Regions from separate parts of the Mus musculus genome. Here region 2 is reported to be linked to region 1. Evidence: microRNA targets listed by miRTarBase, many of them from high-throughput screens and not tested one by one. Region 1 holds a microRNA gene; the other region holds the end of a gene's coding sequence.
The links. Region 1 holds the annotated microRNA mmu-miR-30b-3p (CUGGGAUGUGGAUGUUUACGUC, at 2,941-2,962, shown strand). A microRNA usually pairs through its seed, bases 2 to 8, with sites in the 3' UTR of a target mRNA and lowers its output. Matches are read on the target gene's strand: a 7mer-m8 pairs with bases 2 to 8, a 7mer-A1 pairs with bases 2 to 7 and ends in A, and an 8mer does both.

Region 2: miRTarBase lists Tnrc6a as a target of mmu-miR-30b-3p. The part of its 3' UTR that is shown has no 7-base or 8-base seed match.

The regions. Positions count from the first base shown.
Region 1 is chr15:68,335,995-68,340,392 of GRCm38, reverse strand. Mir30b (microRNA 30b) reads left to right here and starts at 2,883; the gene lies at 2,883-2,978.
Region 2 is chr7:123,192,005-123,196,402 of GRCm38, forward strand. It overlaps Tnrc6a (trinucleotide repeat containing 6a), which reads left to right. Exons shown (of 24, transcript NM_144925.3): 23 at 55-194; 24 at 575-3,292. The coding sequence ends at 947. Among named protein-coding and RNA genes, the nearest start is that of Slc5a11, 21 kb to the right of the region's middle.

The sequences.
Region 1 (4,398 bases):
GTTTGTTTGAGAGAGGGTTTCACTGTGTAGCTCTAGTTGGCCTGTAACTCCTAGAGATCCACCAGCTTTCTAGAGATCCACCAGCTTTCTGCCCGCTTAATGCTGGCATTAAAGGTACACACCACTATACCCAGCAGACATTATTTTCGTTACTATTAAGCTGAGTTAGGTTCAGTTTAGACTTAAAACAGAAGATACAGTTCCTGCCAATCTGATTTCTTATATGCTTCTCCTGGATTAGATTGTAGCCTTTCTGGAGACATGGATATTATGTCTTTATAATTCTGCGTTTTATACCATATGTATAAAATGTGTATATTGATATACAGTACTCTAATAATGATTTTATTCTAATAGTATATTTCCATTTACTTGTTTATTGGTGCTGGAGTTTGAACCTAGTGTTCTTGAACATGCTAAGCAAGCGACCTACTGCTGAGTTGCATTTCCAGTTTTTATTATGGATCCATTTAAGTACTACTTTGTTAGAAAGGTAGTGTGCAAGACTAATTTAAGAGAAGAGCTTGGTTGATCATTTTTGGACAGAGATATTGCTAGGAGCCCATAAAGTTCTCTGTGCCAAGGTAGAGTGTGATGTGTCTTCTGTTAATAGAATTATTTTGTTTGGCCAGGTGGCATTGGTTATTTTCCATAAAACCTTGATGTGTAAGTTAAAATTCAATGGCATGGATAAAAACTACATGGTTTACTTATTTAAAAATTATTTGAAGTGTTTTTTTAAATGGTAAGTCAAATCTAAGCTAAAAGAGGAGGAGTCATTATGCACAAAGCTACCATCCTCTGCTTACCTAGTCTAGTTATCCCTGGATGCTTCAGGGTTAATGCTAGTCTAGTGTGAAACATTTGTTGTGTATTATTCTGCCCTAATGAAAGAAAATCAGAGACCATGTCCGCTTGCGTCCTCAATGTTCTTGGTTCTATGTATTTAAGTACAGCCTTTTCGTCATCTGCAGATGACTTATTTATGTTTTAACTTAAAAACACCACAAACTTCATGTTGGCCTGCACCATTGACAGTTGAATGTTGAGCCATGAAAATTGGGTTGTCTTTCTTTTCCAATAAACTTAAAACAGATTGTTTTCTTGGCCTTTAACTTAGGTTTTCAGGAGAAAATGTGTAAATTTTGGTACAGTTTTAAAAATCTCAGAAATTTATTTACTATTGTATGTTTGTTTATTTTGGTCCAACGAATACTAAATGTCGAGGTAGTTCTCAGCCATTGTACAAATGATATTATTCCTCAGTGTATGATTTAGGAGTTAATTTTTAAGCAGACAACTATAAGTATATAAAGTCTGAGTTAATACATTCTACAAATCTATTTCAGAAATATTCATAGAAAAAAGATACATTTTGGTTGAGTCCTCATTGTCTCCATGGTCTCAAGTCTCTCTCTGCACAACAATAGTCTTGGTGTAGTTGAGAAAGGACCATAAACCTCTAACCCAGAACATATTCACTGTTGCATTAGCAGGGTCCAACTTGGATTTTGTTACAACTGCATTCATTGGATTACTGTTCTGATATTTATTGTGCATGCTAAGTTTTTGAAAAACAGGTTTAGTTTTATTTCCTGAGTTTATGCACCTTTTAAACTTATTCTGTCTTAGATTGTTTGCCTAGGCTGGTTGGCGAGGGTGAACTGTAAGGTACAGGTTTTGAGCTTGTCAACTTTTGTCAGTAGTACATTATGCACACCCTGATTATTGGACAGTCACTGCTGCCAGTGCTTTAGCTTCCCAATGTACTTAGGAAAAACAGCTTTCAAATACTACTGTGCATCACAATTACAGTGAGCTTACTAAAACACAGACTGCAGGACCCCAAAAAGAGTTCCATCCCTAGTAAGTCTGGGATAGAGCTTAGGAATCTGCTTTATTTCCTAAGTTTCTATTGTTGCTCTAGAACTAAAATCCAGAGCACTCAAATTATAGGTGTGTGTCACCATGCCAAACCCTAAAGTTTGATTGCAAAAAAGGACTGGCCCACCCCAAAGAATTAAATGTGTCTACAAAAAACAGCAGGAAATCAGACAAGCAAACTGTAATTGTAGTGAAAACAGGAAAAAGCAACATGTTTAAAGGGGAGAAAGGAGTTGGAGGTGGGGATAGATTAGTTTTGAGAATGCTGCTCCAGGAAAACAGGAGATTCCTGAGGTGATGGCGTATCTTTGAAATGCCAGGAAGTTTTAGTTTGCTGACAGTGTTATATGTAATTTTATTTCCTAATTTAAGGACTTCTTCCCTGATGAAAGTATTCCAAGAGTAACTTTTAATGTTTAGTAAAGGAATTTGGTGATTTTTTTTTTTAATTAAATCAGGAACACAGAAAGGGGTAGATGTCCTTGTGCTACCCCTTGCTACCATGTTTTAAATAATGGCCCATGGTAGAGATATGGGAAAGCCATGCCTGTGGTGCAAGGACCTGGGTGTTAAGGAAGAATAGGGGATTGGTACACCGTATTGCCCATCAAATGGGCTCCTATAAATGGAGGTGCAGTTGTTTAGAGAGAGGGAAAGGGTGGAGAAAGTTGAATGCTGTCAGAACAGTAAGTTGCCTTTAGGTGGGAAAAGCTATAGAATTCCTGTGTTCTTGCCATACGTGTGTGTGTGTGTGTGTGTGTGTGTGTGAGAGAGAGAGAGAGAGAGAGAGAGAGAGAGAGAGAGAGCATGAAAGAGAGAACGATAAATGTTTGCTGTTTCTGTGGATTCTATACTTACTCTGAAGATATCTTTCAAGTTGATTTTGTCCTCATGTAGATCACTGTGCCTAATTTTTTTTTCAACAGATTCTGCAAAATTGTCTGAGCCTCAAGTAAAAAACCAAGTATAAACATAGTAAAGAGTTCTCAAGTCTCTCTCTAAGCCAAGTTTCAGTTCATGTAAACATCCTACACTCAGCTGTCATACATGCGTTGGCTGGGATGTGGATGTTTACGTCAGCTGTCTTGGAGTATCCACCAGTTAACATATTGATACATGACTTAAGTGGCATTACAGGAGTATATCACCATGCCCAGCTAAAGGGCACTTATTATAAATACTGTTTATATTTAGGTTTTCAGTAAATACTTGCTGTACTATTTAAAATAGATACTTGTTTATCTTAATATAGATGATACCAATATTTTGATTCAGAAGTAGTGTAAATCTTACATATCACTGTAATTTGTTGCTAAATAGCCTTAAGCCTAGCTTCAGGTTCTATAATAATTAAGGAAAGTATTAATTTTCCTGGTCTCCACTTCTTTGTCAGCTGAATTGCATTGTCATAGTACCTGACAGGATTGTTGATGAAGTGAGTCGATGTCAGTTGAATGTTCTTGACATACGGTAGTTATCATTATTGTTACTATTTTAAGATTTTTTAATCCATTACCCTTTTCACAGACCTGATTGGTCTAACTGCTACTTTTATATTTGTACCAGGCAGACAGGTTGATCAATGTAATAGAATTGAAGACTCAGAAATAAAACCACACACTTATGGACACTTGATATTTGAAAAAGAAGCCAAAAAATATACAGTGGAAAAAAGAAAGCATCTTCAATAAATGGTACTGGTCTAACTGGCAGTTAGTATGTAGAAAAATGAAAATAGATCCATATTTGTCACCTGGCACAAAGCTCAAGTCCAAGTGGATCAAGGACCTCAACATAAAACCAGATTCACTGACTCTAATAGAAAAGAAAGTGGGAAAGAGCCTCAAGCTCATTGGCACTGGGCTGGGGAGGTGGGGGTGGGTATTTCCTAAATAGAACTCCAATGGCTCAGACTCTAAGATCAAGAATTAATAAATGGAACGTCATGAAACTTCTCAGCTTCTGTAAGGCAAAGGATGTAGTCAGTTAATCAAATTGGCAACCTATAGATTGAGGAAAAAAATCTTCACTAACACCACATCCCATAGAGGCCTAATATCCAAAATATAGAAAGAACTCAAGAAGCAAAAACCCAAACAACCGAATCAAAAAATGGGGTATAGAGAGAGCTAAACAGAGAATTCACAACAGAAAAATCTCGAATGGCCAAGAAGTACTTTTAAAAATGTTCAAAGTCCTTAGTCATCAGGGAAATGCAAATCAAATGACCCTGAGATTATTTACACTAATCATAATGGCTAAGACCAAAAACTCAGGTGACAGCTCATGTTGGCAAGGATGTGGAGAAAGAGGAACAATCCTCCATTGCTGGTGGAATTGCAAACTGGTACAACCATTTTGAATATCAATCTGGAGGTTTCTCAGAAAATTGGAAATAGATCTTTCTGAATACCCAGCTATACCACTCTTGGGCTTATACCCAAAAGGTGCCCCACTATACCACATGGGCACTTGCTCCACTATGTTCATAGCAACCTTATCTGTGATAGCTAG
Region 2 (4,398 bases), not on the chromosome of region 1:
TACCTTCCAATGGCTCTCACAATGGAGGCCCTAACCGCAGCCTGCTCTGTCTAGATTGATGGCTCAACTCTGCGCACCCTGTGCATGCAGCATGGCCCACTGATTACATTCCATCTGAACCTCCCACATGGAAATGCTCTGGTCCGTTACAGTTCAAAAGAAGAGGTAGTGAAGGCACAAAAGTCTCTGCACATGTAAGTTGCCCCAAGACTCCTGATGGGGAGGGGAGAGGCTGGGAGAGCTGAGAGTAAAAGCCCAACCCAAGACCCCTGTGTAGACCTGGTTAATGTGGACCAGGAGAGACTTAGGCGGAGGGATAACTTGAGCCTAGGCGTTGAAGGCTACTTCAGAAAATAGAACGTGACCTTAGATCCTGGAGAAGCCCTTGTGTTGCCTATGGGAGGCAGACCTGGTCTAGATGCCCCATAACCCCTTCTGGAACATTCACTCTGGGCATGGAGCAGGCCAGGCTCCTTCTGCACCTCCTTGGTTTTCTCTCGGAGCAGGTCACACTGCTAGTTGAGCTTATGAAGCCATGCATCTAGAAGACCTCATGTTGTGCCCTCTCCTCTAGGTGTGTGCTGGGGAACACTACTATTCTCGCTGAGTTTGCCAGTGAAGAGGAGATCAGTCGCTTCTTTGCACAAAGTCAGTCTCTGACCCCTTCTCCTGGCTGGCAGTCTCTCGGGTCCAGCCAGAGCCGGCTGGGCTCTCTCGACTGTTCCCACTCGTTCTCCAGCCGGACTGATGTCAATCACTGGAATGGTGCTGGGCTGTCGGGAGCTAACTGTGGAGACCTTCACGGCACTTCCCTCTGGGGGACCCCACATTATTCCACAAGCCTGTGGGGTCCCCCGAGCAGCGACCCCCGGGGAATTAGCAGCCCATCCCCCATTAATGCTTTTCTTTCTGTTGACCACCTGGGTGGGGGTGGGGAGTCCATGTAATGGCATAGGTATAGACGTAAACTGTGACCTCACGAAGAGAAGGAAAGGAGCACTAAGTTGGGCTCGCCGCCTGCAGCCAGGGCACCTGTGGGAACAGCTGTTTTCTGCACATTCTCCACTTTGTTTTCCCCAAAACATATCAGTTTGAATACTTGAATCATGCAGGCCAATATTATAATGTGAAAGGGTATCTATCTATTTACACTCCCAAACAGCGCCATACAGCTACCGTGTGGAATGAGCTCACTTGTGTATTCATCATGTTTAGCCTTCGGATTCCTTCTTTCCTCCATTTCCATCCCCATCCCCACCTTTTATTTTTATTTGTATTTTTTGCAAAACCGTTTTGGGGCTGACGTATGAGCTTTTACCTTTGCACTGAGTGATGTTCTCCGTCTAATCGGCAATATGGGGGCAGCTGTTCCAGTGTAGATGTTTACTCAAGGGTGTTCTCAAGGCGTGCGCTCTCTACTATGCCTCATGTTGCCTACCTTAGTGTGGTATCGTGGAGTTGAAAAGATCAAGTTAAGATACTGACGTAGGATTCTTAATGAAAGTATTGCACCAGTTTTTTCATGTTGTAAAACTAAAGAATTTCGCTCTACAGTTTGAGAAACTGTGGCCACCGCTGTGACCTGCAGCCCGCCTGCTGCCCAGGACGGGCCCTGCACTTTGAACAGGCTTTCCATGTTGTTTTGAAGGTTCCCACGGTGAACCTTCTTGTTTACAGATTTTTTTGTTTGTTTTTTGAGAAAAAAAATGTTTACTCTTCCATCATTTAAAAAAAAAAAATTAAAAGACAAAAAAAAAAAAAAAGGAGGGTGGTTTAAAAGACGCTTCTATCTCTGGGAAAAGAGCAGCAGTTGGCCATGTTCTTCTGTTTTCTATTCCTGTCCTAAATCAAAGAGCATGGTTCTCAGGAAACCAGTTCCCCGGTCAAAAAATCTTGTAGTTTCTTATAGGAAAGAAGAAAACCCAACTTTTAGCACTGATACTACGTATTGCTCTGTTCAACATTTTCTCTGCCAAAAAAAGAAAAAAAAAAAAAAAAGAAAAGAAAAAAGAAAAAAACGCGCTTCGAGCTGGAGTTGCCGTCTGCTTTCAGATGCTGTCCTTTAGTAGTGAGTGATGATGGTTTGCTAATCGCTAGGTGACTTTTGTAACCCCATCAGTGGCTCTCATGTCTCTGCTCTCTTGTGACTGTGTTCATGTTTAACTGTTGTACCTTAAAGCCGAGATCAGTAACTATGCATACTGTAACCAAGACATTGGGCTTACAGAGTTGTTTGTTGTATAAAAAATTTTAAATGTTGTTGCAAACTAACGAGTTACACCATTTTAAAATTTCTTTCCTCCCTAGCCCCTGTTGTTTTGCCCACAAATGGTATTATAATGCTTGCTTAGTCAAAGAGAGACTAAACAAGGGTAAACTTTTAACAGTACAGAATACGCCATCATTTCATTGCCTTGATTCTAACTGTTTGTGTCCTAAGATGCAAAAGAGGTCAGTGGCTTTTAACTGTTTACAATAGGATGTGATTGTAAATGTACAGTTTGGTTGTGTTTGAATTATGAAATCTTCAAATAATAAACCATGACTTTTTGGCTGCTCAACATTAATTGTCTCTTTTTTGTGGATTTATTTGTAGGCTCTTTTATAATGAAAGTTACAAAGTTGCTGCATGTGAGAGTTCTTCTCATAGAGCGGCAGATTAAAAATCTAAGCAAATATTTGAACATTTTACCTGAACTTGTCCACAATCACCCTGAGATAATGTGAGAACAGTGGGAACTGTAGCTTGCTCCTCCTCCCCTGAGCATCTGTGGGAGCTTGTTGTTGCCCAAAGCTCTTCTCTGGCTTCACCTTCCCCACCATCTGTGCCCATCTCAAGCCTCAGCGGGACCATTGGGACACGAAGCTGACTGCCGTGACAGCGTCCTAGTGTTAACCTCTCATACCTCACACAGTGGGGATGCCACCACCTGGACTGGCCTCTCTTCCCTGTGCCCTTCGCCCCTCCTCACTGAAGGAGCTCTGGGCACAGAACCTGTATGACTTCAAATCACGCTCCACTTGCCAGGTGTAAGCTAATGTTGGACACCGTAACCTAAGCAAATGTTTAATGCATTCGGTGTGTGTTGATGTCCATACTGGTTTTTCCAAAAACCAAAGGTAGCTTTGAAAAACCATGTGTGGAGATGTTTGGACCGTTAAGCTGAGTGACCGTTTGGGGCTTTGAGTAGTATATATCTGACTTCATGACTTCGTTAATTGTATTGTTAAAAGTGTTTGGGAGTTTTTTTGCGCTTGTTATGTGGAAATAAAGTGTTTGATTTAAAAAATATTTTAAGTGGTTTTGCTTTTTGCCTTATTAATAACTGCTGCTTTCTTATCCCCATTGTCTCCAAATCCCAGGTGTCATTGGGACCTCCCTCTTAGCCTTCCCTTCCCACAGGCCTGTGTCTGACAGAGCTCCCCACTCCTTGGGGCCTTTGTGAGTGAGCCTGAACTGACTCGTGCAGCGGCTCAGGCCTAGGGCAGTGTGCTCCTGCCTACACTTCAGCCAGAAGCTGCCCTGCAGTCTCTCTTCAGTGTCCACTGATCCGGAGCTCTGGGGTGTTACAGAGGGTGATTCTTAGAGCTGGAACTCCAATAAACCCAAAAGCCCCTGACATGACTAGAGTTTGGGCCAAAATGAGCTCTGGATAGCATTTGCATGAAACAGCGCCATAGAACACCGTGCCTCAAAACTGCACCCCACCCCCACCCCCCCAGTCTCTCCAGTTAGAGGAAGAAGAGTGTGAGCCACTTTCTGGCTCCACTCCTCCAACTATGTTCTGGGGATACCCAGCTCCACAAAAAGTTGTTAAGCTTTTATTTATTTTAAGATAGATTGATTTTATGTATGTGAGTACACTGTTGATTTCTTAAGACACCCCAGAAGAGAGCATCAGGTCCCATTACAGATGGTTGAGAGCCATGTGGTTACTGGGAATTGAACTCGGGGCCTCTGGAAGAGCAGCCAGTGCTCTTAATCTCTGAGCCATCTCTCCAGCCCCTGGCCTTTATTTTCTTACATCTATGTGTGGTGCACACATCCATGCCAGAGGAAGACATTGGGTGTGCTCACTACTCTCCGTTATGCTCACAATACACTGTCTCCCTTACAGCCTCTGCCAGGACCCACAGGCCTACTTAAACTGACCATAATGCCAAGCAGTGGTGGCACACACCTTTAATCCCAACACTTGGGAGACAGAGGCAGGTGGATTTCTGATTTCGATACCAGCCCGGTCTACAGAGTGAGTTCCAGGATAGCCAGGCTCAAAACAAAAGAAGTTGACCACAGCTCATAGTGTTCCATCCCTTTAATCCTGGTGCTCTGGAGGCAGAGGCAGATGGACCTCTGAGTTAAGGCCACGTTGGTCTACAGAGCAAGTTCCAGGATAG